Linked DNA regions of Diceros bicornis minor. The protein of the gene in region 4 interacts with the protein of the main gene of each other region in a pairwise test. Links are inferred from orthologs where the notes say so. Each region holds a gene or a part of one and is shown on either strand. Other genes may lie near its edges.

Region 1 (7,026 bases), on a different chromosome or scaffold from region 4:
GCTATGACATACAACTATCCGCTGGGGCTCTGGGGGAAAAAATAAATAAATAAAATTATATTAAAAAAAAAAAGAGAGAGAGTGGGGGCCCGCCCCGTGGCTTAGCGGTTAAGTGCGCACGCTCCGCTGGTGGCCCAGGTTCGGATCCCAGGCGCGCGCCAACGCACCGCTTGTCAGGCCATGCTGAGGCCACGTCCCACATAAAGAGGAGGCAGATTGGCACAGATGTTAGCTCAGGGCCAGTCTTCCTCAGCAAAACGAGGAAGATTGGCACTGGATGTTAGCTCAGGGCTGATCTTCCTCAAGGAAGGGAGGCAGGGAGGCAGAAAAAAAGAGAAAGTGTGGAAGTGCCTTGAAAGGATAAACTGCTTTGTGAATATAAAGGTTTGCTAATACCCCAAATTAAAAAGTGTGTAATTGCCCTAAATTACTGAGAAAATTATGAGATCCAAACAAGACAGGAAAAAAATCTTAATGTTTCATCACTAGACTCTTGAAAATGAGGGGTGGAGTATTTTGGATTCACAGATAAGAGGAGTGGAAGGCACAAGAGCTGTAGTAACCCGGGGAGCCGGGACAGGGAAGGAACATTTACCGTGCGCCTACTACATGCTCAGTGCGTGGTTATCTCATTTAGTCTCCACAACAGAGGGGACTGAGAGGGACTAACCGTGTCCTCATTTTTTACATGAGGCACAAAGAAATAATTTGCCCAGGGTCATAGCAATAAAGCCATGAGACTGGGATTCAGACACGAGCCCGCCCTTTCCCAAAGCCCAGTTAGAGAACTAGGACTCCTGTGCAGATTATCTTCCCTCTGCCCACAGATCCACTCTCCACCCTTCCCTACTCTGTTGTCTGCTGGAGGAGGGTGATCTCTACAGACCACATCGCAAGGGGTGCACGCCCTCTGGCTGGGTATGGCCAGTGGGAACCCAGCAGGAGATAGGAAGGAGGGAGGAGTGAAGTCAGGGTATGGCTTTCCCTGGCTCCCTCCCAATGGGGTCACCTAGGTTTGCCTACACTCCTCTACTGGAGGTCAAACTTCTCTCAGGTGGGTTCTCTTTACATTTCTCTCTCCTTCCCGATTTTTGTAAACACTTCCTCCTCTCATCCCTTCAGGCCTAGGCATGGAAACAGCTATGCCAGTGGTTCTCAACCAGGGGCGATTTTTCCCTACAACAGACATCTGGCAATATCTGGAGACATTTTCCATTGTCACGATGGGGAGGGGTGCTACTGGCATCTACTGGACAGATGCCAGGGATGCCACCTAAGCATTCTACAATGCACAGGATAGCCCAGCACAACACGATTATCTGATCTGAAATGCAAACAGTACCTGAGGTGCAGAAACTGGTTAATGCTGTTATTACCGTGAGGTACTGAGCTGCCCCTTGTAGTTTCCTTGTACCCTGCCCACGCCTTAGAAAACACTCCCTTTATTAAATCCTCCTCAAATTATCCTAAATTGAGTGTGCCATCTGTTTTCCTGCTGGGGCCTTGACTGATAGATATCCTTTAGAATAAAAGCATATTTATCCTGTAACTCTAAAGGGGAGGAGAGAGATCAGCCAGAAAACCCCTACCTCGGCTGGCCCAGCCCTCCTCCTCCAGGTGATGCTGTGAGGCACGGCCTGTGCCTCAATCACACAGCAGCATTCCATGGACTGCAGTGCTCCGAGGAGCTGGCCCCCACCTCCCATCTGTAACAGCACTGCAACAGATGGGAAAGGGGCTGTCAGTGGGTGGCCCAGAAGGCAGTTAACTCAGCATAGGGTGAAGACGGATGCTATGAGGACCTGGATCCAGCACCACAACGATGTGCTTTAAGCATTCCTCTGGCCTCTGAGCTTTCAGCCCATTAACCAGTGCTGCCTTCTTCTTCCTTTCCTGTTGTCTCAGGGTGCTTTCCTTCTGGCTTGCTTGTCCCCGCTGCTGGCATCCCTGTGAGCCTTTCTTCCGGACCTTCTGACTACGCTTGGTTCTCTTCTGAGGCAGGGCGTCCTCAGCATTCGTTTTGATTACTGTCCAGCTGTTGCTCTGGACAGGGCAGGTACCTTGGTAGGCTGGAAGCTGATGGCATGGATTGTCTACCAAAAGGTCTTTGTTATTTAATGCACGCCTCTCTGAGGTGTCACAGAGGGGAACATCACGGATCTTTGGAAAGGGCTGTTTTTTCCAGTCACATAATGCTCCTTCATAATTTTGATGATCCACAATACTTTCAACTGGGGAGCTAGAGTCCTCGGGGCTCAGCTGCTTGTGGGTCAAAAACTTACATGTTAGCCTCTCAGCCAGGGGAACAAATTCCTCCTCATCTTCACTTCCACTGCTTAGCACCCTGACTGGCTCGGTTTGTATGACCGTTGCGGCCGTGTCCGGAACAGGTGGTGGATCTTTCAACCGTGGTGATGAAGGACAGGAAGCCTCAGAATCTGAAGTGTCAACCACTATAACCTTCTCCTCCCTCTGAGGGTGTCTTCTCTTTGCTGAAGATGGTTCCTTCTTTAGAAAGGCAAATGTTGGCAACTCCTCAGAGTCACTCTCACTGGATTCCAGTGAGAGTGATGACTTCTTGAGAGCCATCAATACGTGCTATCAAATTAATTCCCTAAAAGGAAAAGAGAGAGGAGACAGAGACTCAATCAATTCAGTCTACTAGAGGTGTTCTATGGCCTAGCTTTATGGAAATAAATACAATATATAGAGAAATAGAGAAACAGAGAAATAGGAGAGGGTCCCAACACGTTCATTCTGGGACTCAGAACAGTTACGTCTGTAGCCTAACAGGAACCCTCTTCAAATCCTTTCTAGGCCAAGGTGAGGTATAAGCAAAGTGGAAGTTACTATTACAAAATTTTAATGGGGTAGTAACAAGACTCAACAGCACCTCCTTGTTGATCTCTGCATTTGAACTGGAGATGCCAAGTCATCCTTTTTTAAAAAATTGAGATATAACTCACATACCACAAAATTCATCCTTTTAAAATGTACAGTTCAATGGGTGGTTTTTGGTATATTCACAAAGTTGTACAACCATCACTACTACTAATTCCAGAACGTTTTCATCACCCTAAAAAGAAATGCCATAGCCATTAAGCAGTCACTGTCCATTTCCCCCTCCCCTAGCCCCTGGCAACCACAAATCTACTTCTATTTCTAAGGATTTGCCTAGTCTGGATATTTCATATAAACGGAATCATACACTACGTGGTCTTTTGTGACTGTCTTCTTTCACTTAGCATTATGTTTTCAAGGTTAATTTATGTTGTAGCATGTCAGTACTTCAATTTTTCCGGCTGAATAATATTCCACTGTATAGATATGCCACATTTTGTTTATCCATTAATTACTTGATAGATATTTGGTTTGTTTCCATTTTTTTGGCCATTATGAATAATGCTGCTGTGAACGTTCACGTCCAAGTTTTTGTGGGGACGTATTTTCAACTTTCTTGCATATATACCTAGGAGTGCAGTTGCTGGATTATATACAAAAGACATTCCTCGAACAAATATTTACCAGTGCTGTAGGTGTGACACGGGATGAGCAATGTAACCTTTCTGGGCTTTCTTCTCTAGTAAAATAGGAATAACAACAATACCTACTTTAGAAGGTTGTGAGAAATAAATGAAATCATGCATCTGCAAGGCTTAGTACAGTATCTGGCACAGGGTAGGCGCTCAGTAAAGTAAGCAGAATGACTAGGGAGGGACCTTATCCCTGTCTCCCTGACTCCCGCAAAACGAGGGATCGGCCAAGCCGGCTCCTGCCGGGCACGCTCCGCGCCTCTCACCCCGGCCCCAGGGCGGGGCAGTTCCTCCACACTCCGCGGTCCAGGACGCCCTGGCCACCAAGCCTCTGCGGAACAGGGATCAAGAGGGAAGCCCTGCCCCGCCCGCCCGCCGCGCCAGCAGCCGCTACGCTCACCTGCGACTTCTCGCGCCACTCTTTCAACTGTCTCGCACGCCCCGGAAGTATATCGCCCGGTAGCGGAAGTAGATTTCTGAGACCGGAAGCGAGTGTACGGCAAACATGGCGTTGGCGGTGCTGGCGCTGAGGACGAGAACAGCTGGTAACGGGACGCCGTGGTCATTGCGGGGCGAGGGCTGGAGGCGGAGTGGACACCTTGCAGGGAGCCGCGGGGTGGAGGCCGGTTCCTCCGGAGGACCCTGGGTGCGGACGGGGGAGTGTGTGGGGCCCGCGAGGTTTGAGGGGTGGCTGTCTCTGATCATGTGACACATCTAGGGCGCCGAGCCGTGTGGGTGGTGGTGGTTCGAGGAGCACGTGTTCCTCCCCTGCCTGGCATGCAAGTACAGCTTTCTTGGCAGTTGGTGACATGGGCACTCTGCTTCCTCTCTCTGAGTTTGTTTGGATCCCTTCATCTATAAAAATGGGGTACTAACATTGGCACATTGGAGCTCAAAAAGTGAATCCGATCGTTCAACGGATTGAGCTCTTTGTGCCAAACACTGTGGTAGGTGTTGGGGATCTCAGAGAAGATGAAGACGTAGTCTCTATCCCCTGGACGGTTCTTTCTAGTGGATGAACCAATAAATGAGCACATAAATAAAATGGTTGTAAATTGTGACAAGTGCTGTGAAAGTAAAAATGTGTGTATGTGTCTTTCTTTGGGTTGGGTGGTCAGGGAAGCCCTCTGAGAAGGTAACATGTAAGTTAAGACCTAAAGGATGACAGGAGCCTAGCCCTGGAAGAGAGTGAGGGCAAGAGAGTGACTTGACCGAATTTTACATTTTGAGAATTAAACCATTGCTCTTACGTGAATTTAAGAGGGGATAGGAGTGGAAATGAGGAAACCGGATGGGAAGCTGTAATAGTAGCCCGGATGAGAGATGATTTAGCCGAGATGTTAGTAGTGTCAGTGAACTTGCAGGGAAATGGATGGATCTGAGATCTGTTTTGGAGGTAGAATCCACAGAGCTTGCTGGTTAGCTGGATATGTGAGGTGAGCATAGGAAAGGAATCTGCAACTGCTTAGGTGGTGACATCATTTACTTGGAGGAGGAGGATGGGGAGTAGGGTGGAGAGCAAAGATTTGTGACTGAGATGATATAGGTAAAGCAAGAGCCCAGTTCCTGAGCTTGATAAGTGAGTGAATGAATGAATAAAGAGGTGTTTAAAGGTAGGTAGGGCCGGCCCCGTGGCTTAGTGGTTAAGAGCGTGCGCTCTGCTACTGGCGGCCCGGGTTCGGATCCCGGGCACGCACTGATGCACCGCTTCTCCGGCCATGCTGAGGCTGCATCCCACATACAGCAACTAGAAGGATGTGCACCTATGACGTACAACTATCTACTGGGGTTTTGGGGGCAAAAAAAAAAGGAGGATTGGCAATAGATGTTAGCTCAGAGCCGGTCTTCCTCAGCAAAAAGAGGAGGTTTAGCATGGATGTTAGCTCAGGGCTGATCTTCCTCACAAAAAAAATAAAAAAATAAAAAAAAAAAAGTAAAGGTAGGTAGATCCTGGTGCTGGGCATTTAACATGTTGTCTCTAAGTCTTTATCGCTGGTCCTTTGCCCCAGCTAGTCTCTGTTCTCATTAAAACTTCAGAAACCTAGGCTTCAGGAACTCTAAGCTTACAGGCTCTAGAGACCCACAAGGCTTCTCTAAATACCCTGGCATGGCCCTGATTAACCATGGCTGTGTCTGGATACCTGAAGGCAAGCACTGCCAGCCCTGCACTTGTCATATAGCAAGTGGTTTCCATCTTGGTTAGTATGAATTTTAGTTCACTTTCCTTTTTAGAATAACTGCCGTTGAGCACTTTGGAATGAGTATGGAGAGGTCAGATTAACAAGGGCACGGTGTCAGTCTTCTTGGTCGGACCTATGCTTGATGGGCTTGCCGAAAAAAGAGTCCAGCCTTCTGAGATGGCCAGGAGCCTGTGGGAGCCACCCTCAGAGATGCTGCCCTTTTTGTTTACAAGTATCTGGTGTGCAGTGGATGGGTGGGTGGGTAAGAAAGTGGTGCATGGGGCCAAAGTAGGAGCCTCTCTGGGTGTCCTGTTGCTGGGTCCTGTGGGCTGGCCCCTCCACATTGCATGGAGCCTTGAGGGCATGTGGTGAGTGAGGCGGAAACAGGCAGCTCTGTGGTGTCCTCTTGCTGGCTTCTGTTTCTGTTTGTCTCACAACAGGACTGAATGTGTCAGGATGCAGGACACGTGGTGTTTACTTTTTTTTTTTCCCATTTATATTTCACTGCCCCCTTCTCCCCTGGCCACACACACACAGTCTCATGCAGTGCTTACACCCTGGAAAATACAAGGAATGACTTGTCCCTCGCCAACACAGTCAAGTGGCATTTCTGCTCACATATTTTCCTCACCTCCCCTGCCACTGCCCGCTGCCATCTCTCAGCTTAGCAAATGGCCCATTGACGCAGAGAAAGAGAGTCTGATTGGGAGCCTCTCTGTCTGAACAACATTTCTGTTCTCTCTGCAGTTACAGCCATGCTGAGCCCCCCTCAGGCTGAAGCTCTTGCCGTCAGATATGCATCCAAGAAGACAGGTGGCAGCTCCAAAAACCTCGGTGGAAAGTCACCAGGCAGACGCTTTGGCATCAAGAAAATGGAGGGTGAGGGTGTGCCTTGGTTTCTATTTCCCAGCTGCACCCTACCCTGCTGCCCCTGGCATTCCTTTGAAGAGTGGGAAGACCATGCAGGTGCCCCACCGTCACTCTCCTTTAGCTCACGAGAGCATTTGGCTCCAGGTTAGAGAGGCAGAAAGACCTGATGCGGGGTGGGGCCCTGAGGTAGAGTAGATAGATAGGAACCTTGGCCATGTAACTGGAGAGAGGAGGCTGCTGTGTGGCAGACAGGGGGCTGCTTGTGTTGGACCATCTGGAAGTTGGTTTTATCCAGGGGCAGCCTTAGAGGTTGGTGTGCAGCATTTGGGCTGTCATGTTTTCTTAGCAGTTTGTTGCGCTGCCCCATCACTGGGACCCAGAGTGAGTACACTTGTGTACTTCTCTTCTAGGTCACTATGTTCATGCTGGTAACATCCTTGCGA
Region 2 (7,772 bases), on a different chromosome or scaffold from region 4:
AGAAATGAACAGAGCCTCAGAGACAGAAAAGAATACTTGAAGAAATAATATGCAAAATATCCCCAAATTTAGTCAAAGATGCACATCAAAGGCTCTGAAATTGCCCAGCAAGTCTAGTGCTGAGGCCTATTTCTGCATGTCTTCATTAATTCTCAGGCCCCATCTATACAGGAGAGTAAGCATATCCCGAGGGGTATGGATGAGTAGAGAAGTCAAGTATGTATTTGAATAGAAAATATGTAAAATTCAATGAGTAGGGAAAGACTCAAGCCCACTACCAACTTTCTTGCTTCTTTCCTGACTTTGGGGAAGGATTCCAAATGCCTTTTCTCTTTTAGCTCCTGCTTCCCTTACTCTCTTCACTTTACCCAGGAGTCTTGTCAATAAATGAAGGAGTCTGTGCTGCCAACTCCCTGCCCTCTGCCCTTCAGCCAAAGTCATCAAGTCTGAACCCAATTCCATCTTCCCCCCTGGGCCTCCAGTTCTCCCTACCCATGGTGCCACTCACTTTAGAATAAATATCTAATACCATCTTGAAGACTCATCTCTTTCTTATGAGACTATTCACTTTGCCCATCTTTAGGAATCTGGCTTAGCTAACAAAATAATGCCCCAAACTGGGGCCCAAGTGTCTCACATAAGTGACGTGCCTAAGGGGAAGTGAGGCTTGAAGTGCAAACCTCTTATTCATTAATTGATCTCAGGTATATGAACTAAAGGCAGAACCTACGTGAGAGAATTACCAAGGGCTGCAAGAAACAGTTTCATACTAAGAAGGGCTGAAATCATGAGCATTCACCTCATGGCACCTGCTGTAAATCCCCAAGATTTACAGTCAGTAAGAGCTGTGTGCAGCTGTAATGATGCCTCGTGCTGGGATGATAACCTTTCCAGAAACCAGGTGTTTTTTGTGTCTGGGCTTAATCAGCAAACCAAGCCAAGGCCCAGGTCCCGTGACTTTTTCATTCAGCAGGTGGCAGCCCCATGTCCGATCTCAAAAATGACGCTGGGTCAGACTTTAAATAGAGAAATTGGTGGAACATTCGATAACAAGGGTTCTAAGGGCAGAGGGAGACACTCCATGCAGATACAGGGGTGTGAAGACACAGGGCTGACCCATCCTTTCCCCCAGAAGCCTCTGGTACAGCACCCAGATGATGCTTCTTTACCTTTCCCGATAGGAAATAGTTTTGTTGTATGTACACATATGGACCAGAATCTTTGCTGAGTTTATAAGGTTCAGAAACGATGGTTGGTAAAATCTTGATGTTTGTTAATTTATCTCAATAAAAGCTTACTGGAACTCAAAAAAAAAAAATGCATCCTGACTGAGACACAGTTTTGTTCTTGATCTATGAAAACTAGTGCCCAGGCAGGCACAGGGCTGAGAAATGATACAACTTAGGGGAGAGAAGAGAAGGGATGCCCTCTGCTCATTTCATCCTTTAGTTCCCTCTCTGGGGAAGGAAACAAACGAGAGAGAGAGAAGAATTTCTGCTTCATTCTCTTCATGGGTAACCTTGATCCTGTCAGTTTTTCTTTTTAAGGCCCTTATGATCATTAACAACTTGTTCTGGAAATTCTTTCCGTGTCTGCATTCCTCCACTTTGGCCACATCTTGACATGAATAATATTGCTACTCTGGCCCTGGCAGGGACAGAAGGAACTTCTGGGTCATATGTTTATTGTAAGTGACATAAGGCAGGGATAATTTAGGACAGGTCAGAGGGGAAGTTTTTGTTTTGCAAAGCACTGTCAGGAAGAGGGAGGGCATGTGGGGCTCCAGCTGGGGGCCTCAGAGTTGGGTGATGGGGCAGGGCTCCAGCTCCAGAGAGAAGATTTGCCCTCATTCTCTTAAGTTTGTGGGCAACAAACAAAGGGCACCCCTCAACATCCATCCCTCAAAGCATCCTTTTCTCTATTTCCAGGATAGGAAATATATCCCTTATATAACAACATCTGAGACTGGTTTACATCTCACAAGGTGCGCTTGATTTCCTGGAAATTGCATATAAAGAGATGGGAAGACCAGCACCAGAGGCTGAACGGGATATTTGCAGACCATTCTTCAAGATTACTCTGACTCTTTTCGACCAGTTACTTGTCTCTTGTGCATATGTGTGCAGAGGACTTTTCATTAGCATTGACCATGGTTTCTTAAAAGGAAAAGCAATGCTCAGGAATGGTGCACATCTCTTTTTGTGGTCTTTAGACTCTCAGAAACTAAGGATGCTGTTTTCTTGGCAAAACGAAGCGCAAACTTTAAGGTTCATATTGTTTAAGTCACAGGCTAAAAAACAGGTTGCATAAAATATAATTTTTTTATGAATCAGGACCCAGAAACATTGTGCTTAAACCAAATCATTTAGGATAATGGCTTATCATAAAGCGACCCCTCAATACAGATCCCTCTGCACCCCGAATCCATTGAGCCATGTGGTTCAGTCTCTGCACAGCCCTGGAGCTAAAGAAATACATTCTTCGTTCATTTTCTTCAAGGACATTCAAGGGGACCCCAATTCAAAGTCTACGGCATCATTTCCAAAAAGCTCACTCTTTCTCTATTATCAAGTTGTCTTTCACCACCACCGCCATCACCAGCCTAGATGACGTGGCGCTTATGTTCCAAAGCTCAAAACTGCTTTTTCAGCAGCAGCCCCTCTCTTTCCATCGTTTTATTAGTTTGCTTAACCTCCAACCCTTCGTTATGTAGATCAATTTAGTCTCCCCACTCCCACCAGCAAGCAAGAATCCTTTCTCTTTAAGAGGAGGTTGGGAAAAACCAACCAGGCTAATAAATACAGAATTTTCCTTTCAGAGATATAGCAAATTAACATTAAAGCATTAATAGCATATGTTGATACTGTACATTAATGCAAGACTGTACATTATTTCATTAACACTGTACATTAGTACTGTACGTTACTCCACTAGTGCTGTACGTTCATATATTCACACTACTTGCCCTCACCTCGATGTGCTCAGACCTTCCATTGGTATGGACCCTTTCTGGTACTCCAGCTTGGGCTTGAAGGACTCTCTGGGCAGATAGGAGTGATAGAGAGGGTAGTTCTCGGTGTATTCGGAGAGAAGACATGGTTTCTCTGTTTTATCGTAAATCTTGGTAGGGAGATGCGGACAGTGGTGCCGCCTACAAAAGACACATGAAGTTAGGTCGCTTACCTTCTTAGGAAGAGTACATCCAGTCTGATAATGCTACCTCCTCAAAATGTGACCCAGTCATAAAATCATGTGAATGCTGGCATTGAAAGCAGGAATTTAACCCTTCCTTTTCTCTACTAAACTATGTGAAGTAGCCAGAATTTTTTAAATGATCTATAACTGCAGTTGGTTAATTGTCAAAATTCCTTGGACCATAAAATTACACACAAGTGTGGCTGATATTCAGCTACTACACGTACCACACTGCTTCTTTAAATATTGAAATACTTCCACCCCATAATAGGAAAATGGTTGTGGCCCTGAGTTCTCTGAGTGCCAACCCAGCTGCCCCATGACCTGCCCTGAGACCTCCCCGGGCCTCCCAATTGCCCAGCAATTAAGGGCTTAATACCTGACCTAACAAGATGCTCCAAGGCTGTGTGCTGGTGTCTCTCCTCATGGTTCCTGGGTCAATTCAGAACATCAGTGCACACATAGCAGAACCACCTCAGTTCTGAGTATACTGACCACCACTGACTACGTGAAACCATTTTCACATTGAAAGTCTGGCTTATTTATTCTTTCAGGTCTCATCTGAATTGTTGCCTCCTTAGAAAGACCTCCGCTGATCACCTTATACCTACACTACACCCCACCACCCTGTCCCCTCTCTCGCGGTTTCCCTCATCACTGTGTACGCCTTCCTCATCACTCAATGTTATCTGTAATAGGCATGTTTGTTGGTAAGCTTGTTTACTGTCTGTCTCATCTATTAAGCTCAGGACCTTTTCTATCTTGCTCACAGCTACAGCCCTAGCACCTCATATCCTACGTGATACACACTAAGCTTTCAATAAACCTTTATTGAATAAATTATTGAATATATAAATGAATGATTAAATGAACCTTATGCCTCAATATGCAGGTAGATGACAGATTATAATTTGACGTTATGATTTATAGTAAGCTTGTCCATTTTGCACTCATGGTAATAAATGAACCTCATTATTCTACTATCTGGACATTATTCTACAGCTGGACAAAGGGTAGCTGTTTGAGCTCTCAAAAACTAAGTAGTATATCAATTATCTGTGTGCCCACATACCATCCTTACCAACCACTTAGGGCATCTCTAGTCATTAGATACTAGCACATCAACAAAACTCCTTGCTAGTGATTTCCAACTTGGTCATATCGAGGAATGACAAAGTTATATCAAAAATAGAATTATTTTTAAATTTTTTACACAGAATCGATTTTAATTACAGAAACTAAAATACACAGTACCGTGGGGCAGCACGTGGAGGAGGGAGAGAGAAACAGACATACAGGGAACTCATCACTGCTCAAATCTAAAGCTATTTTCCAGGCAACGATTAGCAGGCTGCTCCTGTTGTTAATAAGTTCAATCCTCTACGCAAATGTTGCAGCCAACATTTACTGTTACTGTGTACCTCTCATCAACCCCCCAACCCCCAGAGAAAATGATCAAGCCTGTATTGTTCATATGGGTTGAATTACATATAAACAAGTTCCTTTAGAAATATCTCTATTTATTTTCTTCTCATTCATAGATTTGTGTATTGGAAAAGCCTTATGATGATATAAACTTGTTACATTTATTTTTTATTTTTGTTATTGTAAAAGTACTATTGGTTCATGGGGAACATTTTAGATCTTTCTAATTATTTACAAGGAAATCTTCCATAAGTATACTGTCCTTATATTATGAATATCTGAATTTTACAGTGTTAAATACACTCAATAAAAGTTTAGTATTCTTTTTTCAAAATGCACATTGTTGGCATTTAATGTACAAAGATGAATACGTATTTATATTTTGTATCTATTTAATAAAGTATCTCCTAATCATAGGTACATACAGGCTTTCACCTGTCCACTCAAGAGATAAATTGCGGAGTTTCATAGTATACAAAATAACCATTCCCCACAGTATAAAAATGTTAGATATTATTATCATCTGTGCTCACAATCAGTCCAATTCTCTGAGATTTCAATCTGACCCAATTAGTACCCTACCATTTTAAGACTCCAACAAACCTCAAATCAAAAGCCAAGAAGTACCAAAAATACCTCCACAGAGATATTTATTCACTCACACTCTTTGAAAGAAAAGTCAAGATTTTTTTAAGAATAACTTAGATTCAGGGACTTGCAATAAAACAGACTCCACAGATATAGCAATATTTTCCTTCTCCAGGTCCCTTGTTTTTTAACCAGTAAAATGTTGCTTTTATATAACCCCCTTTCCATATTGTTACTTTTTAAAATTGTAACATCCTGTAAAGGCTTATTCCAAAAGAAAAATAAATGTGAAGGCAAAATACTACACTGTGATTGGTATCATGAGGGGATTTCAGTATAGCAACGAGCTTCCATTCAGACACTGATGTTCCATTAAATGGAATTATATTGACACATAGAGGGCAGATCTGATTTGACTTGCTGCTAGTTAACTAAAACCTTGTCTCACTTTGAAATTTCAAAAACTCTTATTTGAAAGCGAATATTTCATTGCTTGACTTTGCTCATGGGGTCACCTCTCCTTACCTGTACCCAAATACCCAGAATATTCTTCTCAAGACACCAAGCACTGTATCTTCTCCTTGTTGGTCTGCCCACCCCCTCCTTAAACAGGACTTCCTCTACGATAAAGACCAAGACTGACATCTCTGTGTTCTGGAAGCTATCCTAATGCTTATGTATTTATTTAATAGATGGATGGGCAGTCGGACAGTGTATAGGACAATGAACTGCTACAAGATATTTACAAGTCCTCCGGAAAAGGAAAACAACTGATTTGCTCAAACATCAGTAGAGCCAAAAGGGAAAAGAGACATTCTCTGTTTATATGGACCTAATCAGTGCCTAAAGAAAGTATGTGGAATCACCACGCTTGCAAGATTTAAATGTAGGCTTGACAGTCATGAACCAAAAAAATGAGACCTCTTCCAGTTCTCGGATACTTGTACTCATTTTAGGAGCTGCCTTGGCCACCTTGCTCAGCAGCACAAACAAGCCTAGATGGGGCCAATAGGTAGAGAAGGAAAAGGGGAGAGAGAAGGTTTCTTCAGTCTATCAGAACTCTCTAAAGTCATTCCACTCAGGATTTACCAAAGGACCAGAGGTAAAAAGGAAATAATCCTGACGTTTTCTGATATTTGGTAAAAGGGGTAATAGACACCTTTCAATGGAACCCAGAAAAACTCAGCAGTAGTTGACTCCAAGCCAGAATCATAGAGTTTTGCAATTGAAAGGGGCCATGGAGAATATATGACCCAACATCCCCACTACGTAGATGAAAAATCTGAAGCTCAGAGAATGAAGTACATGACCTAACCATAAACAGAACCTACATCTCTATTACATCAGAATGACGATGTGCATTTCCTGACATGCACCTCACTCAGAGCCAACTGTGACTCAAGGAACCCTAGAACAGATGACAGAACTTTAAGGATGTAACGAGCACCTCTAGAATAGCACCATCCAATAGAAATGGAATGCAAGCCATGAATGAGAGCCACATACGTCATTTTAAATTTTCTACTAGCCACATTAAAATGGTAAAAAGAAACAGGTAAAATTAATTTTAATATTTTACTTAACCCAATCTATTCAAAATATTATAACTTCAACATATAATCAATATAAAAAATTATTAATGAGATCTTTTACTTTCCCTCTACATCTTCAAAATCCAAGATGTGTTTTACACTGACAGCACGTCTGAATTAGGACTACCACATTTCAAGGGCTCAAAGGCCACATGTGGTGGTCGCTTCCCTGTTGGAAAGTGCAGGTCTAGGATTTGAAGGTACAGACAAAAGAACTGTAAGCACTCAAGTGCTAGAAAGATGCCTAGAAATATTTTTGTTGGCTAATATGGAATTTGTCCCTTGCTTGGACTCTCTGACCTGCTTTCATGTGACACAATCAGAGGCATTAAAAGACATGAACAATTAATTGAAGGAGTTTTCCATAATTCTCCTCTCTCCGCAGAGCCCAGCTTCAGTTTTATACACCTGTAACGGTCCCTGGAGTTGCTCTCTTTCCCGCCACTTTCACTTTTCCAAAATGCTTCCCTTTTTTCAAGGCCCATCTTGAAAGCCACCACTACACCACCACCACCACCCCAGGGAGCTACTGACGATCCCACTGCTCCTTGTTATGGCTGTGACTCTCCTCTAGTGTGCATGGTGTCATGTCCCTACCTCTTTTAGGATCCTTTCTCTTCTGTACTGCCTTGTACAGTCCTTAACTTATAACCTTACAGGTTAAGAATTTTCATAGTTGCCAACAAAGCTATTCATCAGAAGAAAAACATGGCAACTCTTCCTGCCACCACCAGGCAGCATGAATAGTAGCTAGTATAACACAACTTTGGGCTTTTCAAACAAATGGACTTCCAATAGTGTTTTAGAACCTAACCTATTTGTAAGGAGAACAGCATCTGTGGATTTCAGTGGCTTGTCTTGCCTCTACTGTGGTCTTTTAGAATCCCCCACTGAGCCTTGCCTGGTATCAGCAATAAAGAGGGCTCTCCTTCACTCCAGGAGGCAGAGTACATGGCAGAAAGGGACTCTGGA
Region 3 (7,417 bases), on a different chromosome or scaffold from region 4:
ATAACAACTCATTTAGCAAAAACAGAGGGCTAGAGGCCAGTGCCCATGAGACATCCTTGCCCCTTTGTAAACATTGACAACCAGGCCACTGGAGCCTGGGGAAAGTGTGCAAATATGAGGGTACCACACTGTGTGCCCAGAGAGCCAGGGACACAGCTGGCAACCATACCCGTGAAGTCCTGAGGGCCTGCCCCCACTGGAGCCTGGCAAGTGCCAGGGGCAGAGTCAAGGCAGCTACCCCATGCCCAAGGGCTCACATGAGCCGGCAGCGGCGCTCTTGCCCATAGGAATTCTCCACTCGGGCAATCTCCTGGATGACTTTGGTGAAGATGCCTTGTGTCAGCTGCAAGGGACAGGGATTCAGGGCAAAAAGTCAGTTCCCTGCCAATACCGCCCAGCTCTGAGGTGAATACCCAACTCCCCCACCATCCCTACCACCAAGCAGTGCCATAAGAAAAACACTGCTACCCCGACCACCCTCTTAATCTTCAGACCCAGCACCTGATTCTCTCGGGCAGATGACTCCATAAATGTCGCACCCCAGGACTCTGCCAGCTTCTTCCCATCAACTGCCTTGACCTCCCTAGAAGCAAATTTGGGACATGAAGATGGAGGATAGCAGTGTCCCCATGTTCTCTTCAAAATCTTTATAGAATCTAGACTTCCTCTGACCCATCTCACTTCCAAGGTTTGGGAGGAGGGTTGGGGAAGGAGAAAATACAGGAAAACAAAGGAGCCTAGGACTGAGGCTTAAAATATGAAATTATAGCTTTTGCAATAGAAGGGTTATCTTGTCATGACCTTCAAGTTAGAAATGAAAAGAGGTGCAGTGAACTTGTTCAAGCCAGTGGCAGAGCCAGGACTAGAGCCTGACTGATTCCTAGTCCAGCTCACTTTCCTTCACCTTGAGCTGCAGAGATTTCCATACCTGTTTGGAGAGAGATCTGCCTTGTTCCCCACTAGCACTACTGGAACCCTGTGAGGAAACAGCAGTTACTATAGGATCCCCTCCCATTCCCCATGGACCCCAACCTCCTTCATTATCACAGCTGGACAACTCTCCATCAGACCAGACAGGATCTATGTCTCGGCCTCCTCCCTAACTTGGACCAATACTCCCCTCTGCCCTCTCCCATCCCCTCATGTCCACACTATGTCTCTGTCCCCCAGGGCCACTTACCGGGTTTTCCCATGGCCTTCATGTAGCTTTTGGTACAGACTCTCAATGACTTGGAAGCTTTAGACACAAGATATGGAGCTATAACCTTATTCTGGCACAGCCCTCAGATCCTCCCAAGTCTCCACTCACAACTCACTTACCTATGCAGAGAGGTGACAGAATATACAAGCACATAACCATGGACCCCAATGATGAGTGAATAGGGCAGAATGCTGTACTCATCCTGAGAAGAAATAGAAATATCAATACTGAGATCCACAACACTCAAATAGCAAAGGGTGGTGGGCTGCATCCTGGGGACCCTCCCTGGGGCACTCCCTACTCCAGTCACTTCTATTCCACAAGTATTTATAGAGTAGTTCCAATGAGCACTGCACACTACTAGCTGCTAAAATGCTTTTCTTTTAATATTACTTTACAGATAAGCCACAGAGGCTACCAGACTTCATCTCCCAGGACTGAACTGCCACATTTAGATACCCTACCCCAAACTGGTACCTGCCCTGCTGTGTCCACCAGATGTAGGTGAAACTCATCTTTGCCAAGAGTCAGTATCTTGCTGTAAGCTGAAAAGAAAAGAAAACTTAACTGAGGTGCCTTGTAGGGCTAGTGATGTGTGCCCCATACTTTCTTAACCCTGGGGGTGACACAGATGGACCAGGTCCAGACAGCTTTCCAGGAAACTGGAGAGACAATGTTAGGGTTCTTATTGTCTACATCTACACCATCCTGGACTCAGTATCTTGCAAAGTCCACACTCTAGCTCCACTCATAGAACAGGACTGCTAGAGAAGAGATTCGATTTAATGTCTAATTAAATCAACCCCTTGGCACCAAGAAAATCCCGAATTTATGGAGTTGAGTGGGGCACCCAAGCCCTCCCTGCCCCACCCCTAGGAAAGAATTCTACTCACTATTCTCCACTGTAGGATCATAGCCTTCCAGGAACTCGCCCTCCACAAACTGATGTGCCAAAGATGTCTTCCCTGTGGGAAGCAGTGGTAGTTGTATCCAAATCAACCATCCACATTCACAACCTCTGTCCTTTCGGGCTGTGGCCCAGGACTAAAGAGGACCCCAAATTAGCACCCTAGCCTGTGAGTGCCCCATGCAATGCTTTCCCTTAGCCTCCCTCACCCTCTTTTCGCCCTGGATCTGTGCACCTTGGCCACCGGATGCATTCAATAGCGCCGCAGGAAAGCTTTCCTGCCGCCTTTCCCCACCCCACCCCACCCCGGGAAGATCCGGAATTCCCTAGGATCAAGTCTGTCCCCTCACCCAGACACGCACACAGACCGCGCCCCCATCATCAAATCCTGATCCCATCCCCACCCCCCAGAGTAACTCTGGGGACCACTCTGATGTTCCTGCAGCCAAGCCCACATTAACCCTTACATGCTCCGGCTTCCTGCAGCTCTCCACACACTACCACCACCCCAGCCTTTCCTCCTCCATCCTCTCAACCCTCGCTCTACACTCCCGTTCTAACGATGCCTCCATTCCTCCCTGGGTCACGTTCCCGCGGCAGCGCGCCTCCTCTGGCCACAAAGCCGCGGTGCGTCCGTGCTCTCCCCAAGGCGGAGACTCACCTACAGAGCGGTATCCGAGGATGACCACCTTCCTGTAACGAACTAGCGGCATGGCAGGAGCCGGCCCCGAGGGGCTTACAGAACTGCGGGCTGAGAAAGCCCTAAGAAGAGGAGGTCAGAGTGTATGCAGGCGCGCAAACCGGCACAGGAAAGTCGCTAACCCCTAAGCTGCCAGGGGCAAGCTAGAGGGAAACCAAAACAAGCGCCGCGCCCGGAGCTGGCCACGTGATCACAACACAGCAAGACTAACGCGAGGGAGCCGGGCGCCGGGGGAACTACAGTGCCGCGCCGCTCCGGGCTCCGCCCCCCAGGCCGCTCGCCATTGGTCCATGAGAAAGGGTAAGGGCGGGGCTGGCAGCAGGAGGGAAGGGTGGGCCTCACGTGGAGCGGGAGAACCAGGAGCTGCGCATGCGTAGACTAGAGCCGGTTCATTCATAAAGAAACAGAAAGGAACCCGGGGTCCTAGAGGTGTTTGCGCATTTGCAACCTAGCAAAAGTGGCTGCGAACAATCTGGATGGAAAATACCCCTACTGGCTGGGCTGGAATTTCTGATTCTAGGCCTCCGTTTTGCAAGGTCTCTGGGGTCCTTGGATAGGAAAAAAGAGGCCAAAGTTCCAGCATATTCCCTTTGCTTGCCCCAGCCTTCAGCCTCAGATCTTTTATTGTCAGGTTTCCACAGTCTTCCGGGATCCAGTTTCGGAACTGCAATTCTTATTTTTGGGAAAATTGTTAGAATTTGTGGCCATGTCGTCTGAGGTTTCGTTGTCATCATCATCATAATCAATGCAGTCATTTATTCAACAAATATTTATTAAGCATATACTGTATGTTCCAGGCGTTGCTCTAGCTTTGGGGATAGAGCGATGAACATGACAGACAAGGTCTCTGTGCTCACGAAACTTAAAACCTAGTTGGGAAGAAACAAACATATAAACAAGGAAATACTAGCTAATATTAAGTGCTAGAAAAGGCGGTGTGATAAGAAATAACCACTTTAGGTCTGGCCCCGTGGCTTAGCGTTTAAGTGCGCGCTCTCCGCTGCTGGCGGCGGCCTGGGTTCCAACCCCGGCGCGGACCGACGCACAGCTTCTGGGGCCATGCTGAGGCCGTGTCTCGCATACAGCAACTAGAAGGATGTGCAGCCTGACATACAACTATCTACCGGGGCTTTGGGGGGAAAATAAATAAATAAATAAAATTAAAAAAAAAAAGAAATAACCACTTTAGATTAACGGTACTTTCTCCCAAAGGAAGCCCCATTTAAACTGAGGTCCAAAGGACAATAAGGAGCCAGCTAGCTAGAAGATTTCAGCAGAAGAATCCATGAATGCTATGGCGCTAAGATGGAAATAAATTTGTTAAATTCCAGGAGAGAGAGAGAAAGGCCAATTAGCCTAAAACAGATGAAGTCTGAGAGGATGGCAGGGACCAGGCCATGTAAAGGAGTTTGGGCTAATTCTAAGTACCTAGAAAGCTGTTTACGATGTTTAAGTTGGGGCATGATATGATCTGAATTGTGTTTCCAAAAGATCTCCCTGGCTGTGGAGAATGGATTGGGGTTTGAGGGGAACAGAAGCAAGAGGGGAAGCAGGGAGATCAGCTAGGAGACTGTTACTTGTAGTCCAAGTGAGAGGTGAGAGTGGCTTGACTAGAGCGTTAGCAATGAACGAAGTAGAGAATTCAGGATATGTTTTGACGCTGAGGTCAATCTGACCTGCTGAAGGATTGGCTATAGGAGGTGAGGGAGGGAAAAGGAGGAAAGAAAACACCTAGATTTATATAGTTCTACTATGTGCCAGGTGCGTGTCATTGTTATCTCGTCTAATATTCACACCAGCCCTAAGGTTGATGATTGGTATTATTCATTCATTCATCAACAAATATTTTTCTTTTTTTTTTCTTTTTTTGTGAGGAAGATCAGCCCTGAGCTAACATCCATGCTAATCCTCCTCTTTTCGCTGAGGAAGACCGGCTCTGAGCTAACATCTATTGCCAATCCTCCTCCTTCCCCCCGACCCCCAAAGCCTCAGTAGATAGTTGTATGTCATAGTTGCACGTCCTTCTAGTTGCTGTATGTGGGACATGGCCTCAGCATGGCCGGAGAAGCGGTGCCTCGGTGCGCACCAGGGATCCGAACCCCGGGCCGCCAGTAGCGGAGGATGCGCACTTAACCGCTAAGCCACGGGGCCGGCCCCCAAATATTTTTCAAACAACCGTCATGTTCCAGGTACCCTTCTAGGTGCTGGGAATAGAGCAGCAAACAACACAGACAAGGTCTTTGCCCACAAAAAGCAAGTATTCTTTTGAGAGAAGACCAACAATCTACAAGTAAACAATAAATAAGTTACATTTAAAAAGTAATAACTGCAATGGGGAAAAAGAAACACAAAATCTTCATGGGCTAGAGCTTAACTTGGGATGTGGTACTCCTCTTTTTTTGTATGATATCCTAGAAAGCCTGAGGAGGTGACATTTGTGCCTGAGACTTGAATGATGGGTAGCCATTATCACCCTTATCTTATAGATATGGAAAAAGACTTAGTCATACAGGTAGCACACAGAAGTTATTTCTTCTGGAAGGTCCTGATGAAGTGGGCATGTAGGAGTTACATTGTCCTGGAGGACAGGCTTTGTAAAACTATAGAACCACCTAATGCTTTAAAAAGTCCAGATGTGCAGCCCACCCAGTGAGTAGCGATTAAGTTCATGTGCTCTGCTTTGGCAGCCTGGGGTTGGTGGGTTTGGATCCCAGGCCCAGACCTATACCACTCATCAAGCCATGCTGTGGCAGCAACCCACATACAAAAGATAGAGGAACATTGGCACAGATGTTAGCTCAGAGACAATCTTCCTCAAGCAAAAAGAGGAAGATTGGCAATGGCTAATCTTGCTCTCACACACACACACACACACACACACACACACACACACACACACAAAATGTCCAGATCTACAAAAGTTGTTTCAAAGAGCCACTTCTTAATCTGGCCTCGGAAAGGGACCCAAATACCTTTTCTACTGGGTAAAGGAAATTTCCTTGCAGACTAGCAATTTTATGTTGGATTTTTGGGCCTGAGAAAGGTTGGTGGTGATTCCAGATTATGTCTTAAAGCACTGCAAGATAGAACAAAGAACTGTATTAAATTAAATTCAATCAAAATTTATTCATCTTCTACTTTGTGCTAGGCACTCTTACTATGTGTTGCACACTAGGGATATAAAGATAAATAAGATATGCCTTTTATGCCGTTTGTCTTTCCAGATTAACTCTCTACTCTTTTCCACCCAGATTTGTGTCCAGGAGGCAGACCTTGCTCTCTGGATCCCAGTGGGGTTCAGCCAAAGGGGAGCATTCGCAGAAGATTAGATGGAGGGAGGAGCATATCTGTGTCCCCCACTGAAGGTCACAACACCTCTCAAGGTACTCCCTCCCACACGCACAGCTCTCTTGTTCTGTTTCCAGTAACTTCCTCCCCTCACCCTTCAGACCTATAGTGGTAACAGCCTCTCTGATCCTTCCCCAGGGTACTACTCTACCCTTTGTGGTTTCCCTACACCCTGCCCATACCTTTGTAGTCTCTTAATTAAATTATCCTCAAATTATCTTGTTTTCAATCAGGAAGATAGCAAAAGGGCTAAGACAAAAGGCTTTCTCTTCTTGTGGTTTTTTTCTTTTTATGCAGGAAGAGATCTCACAGCATATTTTCACCTACATCTCCTTGAGCAAAACTGTATCATATGGCCATCTCTAGCTGCAAGGGAGCCTGGATATTTTAGCATTTTCTCTTCTACCCTCTATAGTAAAGGAAGGCAAAAGAGAAGGTGATTAGGAATAAGTGTTTAGTGAGCCAATCTGTAAGACCTGTGCATCTTGGCACCAAGATCCATTTGTTTATTAAATATCAATCATCTGGGCCGGCCCCGTGGCTTAGTGGTTGGGTGCACACGCTCTGCTGCTGGCGGCCCGGGTTCGGATCCCGGGCACGCACTGACGTGCCGCTTCTCCGGCCATGCTGAGGCCACGTCCCACATACAGCAACTAGAAGGATGTGCAGCTATGACATACAACTATCTACTGGGGCTTTGGGGGGGAAAATAAATAAATAAAATCTTTAAAATATATATATATATATCAATCATCTTAACAAGTAATGCATAGGGCGGGCCCCATGGCATAGCAGTTAAGTGCGTGCGCTCTGCTGCTGGCGGCCCGGGTTCCGATCCGGGGTGCACACGGATGCACTGCTTGTCAGACCACGCTGTGGCGGCATCCCACATAAAGCTGAGGAAGATGGGCATGGATGTTAGCTCAGGGCCAGTCTTCCTCAGCAAAAAGAGGAGGATTGTCACAGATGTTAGCTCAGGGCTGATCTTCCTCACAAAAAAAAAAAGAAAAAAAAAAAAAAGGAGAAAAAGTAATGCATAGGGGCCGGCCCCGTGGCACAATCGGTTAAGTGCGCGCACTCCGCTGCAGCGGCCCAGGGTTCGCTGGTTCGGATCCCAGGCGCACACTGACACAACGCTTGTTAAGCCATGCTGTGCTGGCGTCCCATATAAAGTAGAGGAAGATGGGCACGGATGTTAGCCCAGGGCCAGTCTTCCTCAGCAAAAAAGAGGAGGATTGGCATCCGATGTTAGCTCAGGGCT
Region 4 (7,314 bases):
ATCCTAACTGCTACCAGCCAAGGCAGTGAGCTTTGCTGAGCCTCGGTCTCCCCATCTGTAAAATGGAGGTAATGATAATACTATACCCACAGGATTGTTGTGAGGACTAAATGAAATAATATATTTAAAGTGCCTAATGCTGCGTTCACCCCTTAGCAAGTTCACAATCAATTGGAGCTATTATTTTTTTTATTACTAAACCTACCTCTAAGGATAGAGAGAAGGTTGAGCACAGAAGAGCATTCCAGAGGCATTTGGTTTCTTTTCCACCACGTGAAACTAACCTTCAGCAAGTTCTGCAGTTGCACCCATTTCCTATGATAGGGCCCAAAACTCCAGCTGAGGAGCTCTGGGGAAATTCTCTCCTCATTCCCCAGAGGTGCCAGTCCAGGAGACAAGTAGGCACAAAAGTAGCTGAGATCTGCCATGTAAAAAGTTTTTTCCAGGGGCCGGCCCCGTGGCTTAGTGGTTGGGTGCGTGCGCTCTGCTGCTGGCGGCCCGGGTTCGGATCCCAGGCGCGCACTGACACACTGCTTCTCCGGCCATGGTGAGGCTGGCTCCCACATACAGCAACTAGAAGGATGTGCAGCTATGACATAGAGCTATCTACTGGGGCTTTGGGGGAAAAAATAAATAAATAAAATTATTAAAAAAAAAAAAAGTTTTTTCCAGCTTCTGAGTCTGAGCCCAGCCCGACTAGGGCCACGTGCATTAACAAAATTCCATCTCATTTGTCACTTAACCATTGAAAGATAAGACCTTTCATGATCTGGCCCATGCCCACCTTTCCAGCCTCATCTGGATTAAGAAGCCCAGCCATCAAGCAGGGTGACCAGGTGGCAGCCCCAGTCACTCTTGCCACTTTCCCTGAGGAAAGCATTGAGTGAGGGCATACCCAGGAGAAGGCAGCTCTGCACACTGGAGGGCGGAACGTTGGAGTCAGCCCTGGATTTAAATTGGACACCAACCACCTATCAGCTTGTGATTTGGGGCCACATTGTCAAACTCTCTGAGCCTGTGTCCTACTCTGTAAAATGGTGATAATAATGACCACCACCTCCTATGGCTTTTGTGAGGCCTAAAGGAGGTAAGAACTAGCACTTAGCACAGTGCCCTGCATGTAGTTGGCATTTAACCACATGTGAGTTCTCCTTCTACCCCCCACACTCATGCTGTAGAAGTCACTTATTTCATCCTCTGTGCCCACAAACTCATTGCCAGACTTGGGATCACGATGAAAGTGTTTCTGGGCAATCTGAACGTGGGAATCTGCTAAGCCATGAGGCCTGCAGGGGCTCTAGGCAGCCCAACGGGTAAGAGTGAGCAATATACCCAGAGAAGGAAGGAAGTTTTCACACTGGAGGAAGGAGGGCTTGTGGTTACAAGCATCGGAGAGTGATTCAGCACCCAGAGGAAACCATGAGAGGCCTGTGAGTTGTCACCCAGGGCCTCCTTTTGAAAACTCTTTCGAGGTGAGAGAACAGTTGGAAGCCCCCTTCCACCACAAGCTAAGGAAGGGTGTATGGGGACCTCCTGGTGGGTGAAGGGATAATCAGATCCCACTTACTCAAGGCCAGTCATCCAGCACTTAGTCTTTGCTTCCAGCCCCGCCTCAGACACACCTGTTCCTGGAGAGGGGGGAGGAGTGACAGGGAACAGGAACAGGGAGTCCATGTGGCTGATCCCTAGACCTCTCTGGGGCACGTCCTCTGGGGTCAACGGAAATAGAGCAAGCAGGGAAATGTGAGCCCACTGGGGAGCTAAAGACACAGGCCCTGCCCTACACCAGTCTCCCTCCCCCACGCTGGGCCACATCAGAATTCTCCTAACTTTCTCTGGCCTCCAGACTCCAAGTGCAATAGCAGAAGCTTAACACTTGACCCTGAAAGGGGGGAGGTAGGGAGGGAGAGTCCCACGTGTTGAATACCTACTGTGTGCTCTCATCAGTCCTCACAAGAATGCTGGGAGACAGGAGTCCACCACCCTTTTTTTTTTTTTAATTATAATTGTCCTCACTTCTGTTCACTTTGATTATTTTCTTTCTTTTTTTTTTTTTTTTCCTGCTAAAGAAGATTCGCCATGAGCTAACATCTGTTGCCGATCTTCCTCTTTTTGTATGTGGGTCGCCATCACAGCACGGCCACTGACAGATGAGTGGTGTTAAGTCCACACCCAGGAACCGAACCCGGGCCGCAGAAGTGGAGTGTGCCGAACTTAACCACTAGGCCACCAGGGCTGGCCCAAGGGGTCAACCACTCTTAACAGATGAGGAGACTGAAGGTTAAAGAGGTGAACTGACTACAGAGGCTGTAGAGCATAATGGTTAAGCTCTTTTTTTGGCCTAAGGAGCTTTGACATTTGTTTGTCTGGATTTGAATCTAGGCTTTGCCATTATTAGCTGTCACCCTTGGCCGTTACTTACTCTCTGTGCGCCTCCATTTTCTCATCCTTAAAATGGGGATTAAAAATACATATTTCATAAAGTCATTGGATAATCAAGTGCATTAATATATGTAAAGTGCTTAGACAGGGACTGGTGCAAAGTAAGAATTCAGGAAATAATTGGCTCTTACTAAGGCTGTTCAGCAAATTTAAGCTGTGAGTAAAAACCAGAGACCCTAACTCTACTTTGGTCCAGCACCTTCCTTGCTCACTCATAACCCCTCTCTTTCTGAAGGCTGCTCACCTTTGCCCTCCCCTCGCCCCAGAGCGGACCCCTTCTTGCCATCTACTCCCACCAGAGTCTTCCCTGCGCTTCCCAGGGCTAGGAGCTCACAGGATGGCTGCTCACTCCCTGGACTCCAGATAGTGGGTGCCTGTGGTCCAAACTGGGGGGTGGGGGTCCAAACTAAAGTAGTGCCTGCTATTCATTCATTCATCAGATATTTGTTATGTACCAGACATTGGAGTAGGTACTGGACATGTGGTGGTGAACAGGAAGGACCCAGTCGCTGCCCTCATGGCACTTACAGTTTAGGGAGCTGCAACAACCATTATAAACAAGCAGTTAGTTACTTTGAAAGGAAACTTGGCCTCTAGGGTGACTTTGGACCTGGGAAGGCAGCATGTGATTCAGAGATGGGAGGAGGGTGCTCAGGAGTTCCAGCCTGGGATGGACTGACACTCTGCTCTGAGAGCGTGGCTAGACCCAGTCTGGGGGATGGGAGAGCCTCTGTGGGCCCCTGAATCTCTACTCTAGACTCAGAGGTTATTTCCAGGGTTAGTTTGTTTTGCAAACAGCACAGTAGAGCCTCCTCCTACACCCCCCCCCCCCCCCCCCCCCCCCCCCCGCTTCCAGATCGAGGCTATTTATTCCTAGTGACAAGCCTGAGGATCCCAAGGGGGCTGGCCTCAAGGACCTGGAGGGGGCCTGTGTCCCTGGCAGGCGCCAGTCCTCCCTCCCAGGCACGGGGAGGAAGCCAGAGGGTTGGAAAATGTAGAGGTGGGGGAGGAGGGGTTCCCTCCACTTCCCTCCACCACCCCTGCAACACCCCATCCATACACACACACACTCCTCACACCCCTCCCTAAGAAGCCCAAAAATCATGGGGCCAAGGATTAGGGTGTCCCCTGGGCCTTAAAGGTCAAAACTATTCCTGGGCACAGTGGAAATGAGGCAGGACTTCTCTGTCCAAGGATGCAGCTGGAGGTGAGGAGGTGGTTACTTCTGTTTGCCACTCAGAATTGTAGAATAAAGCCCTTTGAAGGTCAAGGCCCTATGGGAGGGAGAGGGGTCCTCTCTTCACTCTGTGTTTCCAGAGAACACCTTGGTCCCCATGACAGGGCCATGACAGTAGAGTCAAAACCACCCCCTCCTCCAGGCTGGATAAGGCCTCCTTTACAAACTCGGGCTGAGTGTGACCCCTGGGGGTAGAATGGGGGGGTGGGGGCACGAAGAGGGCATGAGGACCCTCTGTTCTCAAATAGACCTTGGTCGGCTGGGTCCTGTACCCCTTGCCTGAAACGAATACAGCAGTCTCCCGCTTGCAGCTGTGGGGGGAAGGGGGAGAGGGGAGGGAGAGAGGACGGCAAAAGCTGCAGGGAGGGAACAGGGGCGGGGTCCTGGCCGCCCAGGAAGGTTGGGAGAGCCAGGTTAGGCTGGGCTGGAGCGGGGAGGCTGGGGCGGGCTCCAGTCTAAACGGGAGGTGGGGGCGGGGGCTGGCCCCCGGCCTCCGGGATGGGGGGCCGGGGGCGGGGTCCGCACCCTGAGGGCAGGGGCGGCCGGGGGCGGGGTCCGGGCGGGGCGGGCTCCCGCGCTCACTTCCTCGGGGAGGGGTTGGGGCCGGGCTCCCAGTCGCCCACACAGTCCGTGTGCAGCCTGCAGCCTCGCCGGCAGCTCGTCCGGCCCCCGCTTGGCCCGGCCCGCAGGTAGGAGCCGCCCAGGGACGCGGCCCCGGGGTCCCCGCCCCACCCGCGCGAGCGCCTCGCCCCGCTCCTGCCGCCCGCGTCGAGGTGAGCTCCCCGCCGACCCCGGCTCCGAATCCCAGCGCCCGGCCCCCGCCCTCGGGCCGGGGAGGGAGTGGCGGCGGCCCCCGCCCGCTGCCCCCCGCCCGGGGCCGGCCGCGGGCGCCGGGATCACGCTGAGCCCCAGAGGGCGCCCCCCGGACCGCACCGCTGCCCGTCGCCCGGCGGGGCGGGGGCTGCTTCGAGAGTGGGGCGGAGGAGGGGGCCAAGTTTGAAATGGAAAAGCCAGAGTCGAGAGAGAGTCTGGGAGGGTTCGAGAAACTGAGGCTCCCAGAAAGCCCAGAGGAGCGAGAACCCGAGACAGGGAAAGAAGGGACGACAGGCTTCGAGTGGTAGCTGCAGAGATACCCGAAAACGGGGACAGAAACTTGGCCGTACACTCCCCAAGAGACAGACCGAGGCATAGGGACGGACCCAGGTTTTGTGGAGCATTTTAAGAAAAAGCATACAGTGACGCCAGTGAACACGTCCTAGGATGCTTCCCAGGGCCTTCGAGGGTCCTGGGCAAGTGAGGGGCCCTGAAGCCTAAGCTTCCTTAGCCTCGTGGTGAATCAGGCTCTGTGAGGCCTTTGGAGACATTCAGAGACTGGAGACAGACTCTCGGGCATAGAGATGCTGTTGAGTGGTAGAGAAGGGGGGTGGGGTGGGGACCAAGACATTCCGCCCCATAGAGACACTGAGAGGCAGACTTGGGTGTTCAGAGGTAGAAATCCAGAGGTGGGCTGTTGGGAGATAGCCAGTCAGAGGTACAGAGACACCCACAGCGTAGAGACATCTGCTGAAGTGTGCAGGATACAGAGACGTGCTGAGGACCAGAGCTAGACTCAAAAGACAGAGGTTAATGGAGGCGCACTGACAGCTTCCAAGACAGACCCTGAGATGAGGGCTGTGGAGGCAAGGATGTGGGGAAACGGAAACTCTGGGCCCACTGAGTCCCCATGAGGAGAGGACCTGAGACAGTAAGATTGCAGTCAAGGAGGAGCCCCACGTGTGTACCAAGACAACCCCAACTTATTTTTAAACTCAAATCTTGGACGTGCTGCTTCAGCCCTGGGAGACCTGGGGTGAATGAACTGTTCCTCTCCTGTCCCCAGAGCAGCTGCTGGATCCTGCTTCCCATCCCCCTTCCCCTAAACTGCTCCAAATCCCAGGCCCCATGGGGGGAGGGGAGGGGAGAGTGGAGAGTTTGGGGTTGGTGCCTGGTGGCAGGGGATGGGGGGGGGGATTTGGATTTCTCCCCTGAAGTCTCCTGTCGACTCCTGGGACCTGGGGGAGGGGTCTGTTCTGATCCTGACTCACAGCTGTGGGGCCTGGCCAGGGTCCTCCTGGACAGTGGGAAGTGGAGGGGGGCAAAAGGGTTGAGCAGTTGGCATGGGTAATTGGAAAGGCTTCTGGGTGTCTTCCAATCGCAGGGCTGGCAGCTGGGGAGAAGAGCCAGGCTCCTGTGCTAGTGATGTCACCCAACATCTCCTTTCCCCCTGCTCTTAAATGGTGACCACCCCCTCCACCACCACTGCAGCATTTCTAGGGAAAGAGAGACAGGAAAGGACTCCAGGCTGGGAAGCAGGGGACCTGGGCTCTCTGATATCTGCGTGACCTTGGGCATGCCCCTGCCCTGTCCCTAGCTTCTGTGCTCAGCTGTACAATGGAGATAATATACTGTCCTGCCGGCCTTTTGTGAGATCTGATGAGACGGTGGGTGGGAATGCACTTTCTGAGAGGCAAAGCAGCATGCAGGTGTGTACACCTGTGTACCTGTGTGAGGGGCCTCACAGTTATGCTCACTGAAGTCAGGCTGGCCCATCTGGTCTCAGCGAACCCCATGGCCTGGGCCTCTTCAGTACCCCCAGCAGAACTAGGGGGTTCCCTCTTTGTTCTCTCCCTGGGCCTACACTGAGAATGTCCATGTCAAATGCCAGGGCAGCTCCCTGACCCAGGCCTGGCTGAGAAACTGTTGTCTGACCCCAATATGAATGAGGGGCTGATAGTAAAAACACTAATAGCTACTATTTACTGACAACTTACTATCTGCCAAGCGCTTTCCAAGTATTATCTCATTTAAGCCTGACAACTACCTTAGGAGGTAGTATTAGATGGGAAAATAGGCTCAGAGAGCTTAAGTGATTTGCCCAAGATCGCCCAGCTTTATATTTACCAGCTTGAGCGTCTACACACCACATGCCCACAGCCATTTATCCCACTAGTCTGAGCTCTAGGAGGTGCCAAATGTGTGTGTCTAAGTCAGGTGTAGGAGTGTGTGTGTGTGTGTGTGTTGGTGGGGGCAGGGGCTGGGAGCCATCTGGCAGACTGAGCAGTCTCCCCTCACCCCACCACCAGCCATGAAGGAATACAAGACTGGCTCCCTCCAGTCCCCCAGCCTTGCCAGGGATAGGGGGAGGGGCGGGGGATGGGCAGAGACAGGTGGGCCTTGATAGTGCCCTTCACTCTGTCCTCACTAGAGCCCAGCTGGACAGACTAGGGGGACTAGGGGATTCTGGGAAGGAAACAAGCCACGCCCATACCCTATTTGGGGTGCCCCTGTCCCAGAGTGGTGACTGCCTCCCAGGGGGCGGACCCAGGGCTAGCCTGGGCCTGGGAAGGTGGCGGCTGCTTTGAGCCAAGCCAGGAAGGAAGGAAAAGGCCCAGGGCACTCCTGGATGGACACATGGCCACACTCCACCTGTGCGGCCCCCTGCTGCCCAGTGGCTGACAGCCCAGGCAATCCTTAGATGTTGGGCCAGAGGAAACCCCGGGCCTGAGTGGCAGGGAGCGGACTGAGAAGGAGGGGTACCCTCCACCTTACAGCATAGCCGCCACCCCCAGAAGTCCCTGCACTGAAGACCCCAGCTG

What was found.
Region 1: the proteins of FHL3 (region 4) and MRPL27 interact in binary tests that used the Homo sapiens proteins (3 or more experiments, as listed by UniProt). The two-hybrid records come from large-scale screens. The link is inferred for Diceros bicornis minor from reciprocal best matches to the Homo sapiens genes FHL3 and MRPL27.
Region 2: the proteins of FHL3 (region 4) and SAXO1 interact in binary tests that used the Homo sapiens proteins (3 or more experiments, as listed by UniProt). The two-hybrid records come from large-scale screens. The link is inferred for Diceros bicornis minor from reciprocal best matches to the Homo sapiens genes FHL3 and SAXO1.
Region 3: the proteins of FHL3 (region 4) and RHEBL1 interact in binary tests that used the Homo sapiens proteins (3 or more experiments, as listed by UniProt). The two-hybrid records come from large-scale screens. The link is inferred for Diceros bicornis minor from reciprocal best matches to the Homo sapiens genes FHL3 and RHEBL1.

The regions. Positions count from the first base shown.
Region 1 is NC_080757.1:35,945,763-35,952,788, forward strand, and holds the start of MRPL27 (large ribosomal subunit protein bL27m), read left to right. Parts: upstream 1-4,012; 5' UTR 4,013-4,038; coding exon 4,039-4,078; intron 4,079-6,460; coding exon 6,461-6,592; intron 6,593-6,993; coding exon 6,994-7,026. Other genes in the region: crossover junction endonuclease EME1, read right to left, coding at 1,590-1,717, 1,803-2,589.
Region 2 is NC_080761.1:41,259,556-41,267,327, forward strand, and holds the start of SAXO1 (stabilizer of axonemal microtubules 1), read right to left. Parts: upstream 3,010-7,772; 5' UTR 2,995-3,009; coding exon 2,972-2,994; intron 1-2,971. UniProt on the Homo sapiens protein: May play a role in the regulation of cilium length. Stabilizes microtubules at low temperature.
Region 3 is NC_080756.1:20,581,664-20,589,080, reverse strand, and holds the start of RHEBL1 (GTPase RhebL1), read right to left. Parts: upstream 3,002-7,417; 5' UTR 2,822-3,001; coding exon 2,770-2,821; intron 2,167-2,769; coding exon 2,095-2,166; intron 1,747-2,094; coding exon 1,679-1,746; intron 1,404-1,678; coding exon 1,321-1,403; intron 1,238-1,320; coding exon 1,181-1,237; intron 977-1,180; coding exon 929-976; intron 584-928; coding exon 502-583; intron 344-501; coding exon 254-343; 3' UTR 1-253.
Region 4 is NC_080752.1:51,939,257-51,946,570, reverse strand, and holds the start of FHL3 (four and a half LIM domains protein 3), read left to right. Parts: upstream 1-4,296; 5' UTR 4,297-4,368; intron 4,369-4,375; exon of another isoform or gene 4,376-4,452; intron 4,453-7,314. UniProt on the Homo sapiens protein: Recruited by SOX15 to FOXK1 promoters where it acts as a transcriptional coactivator of FOXK1.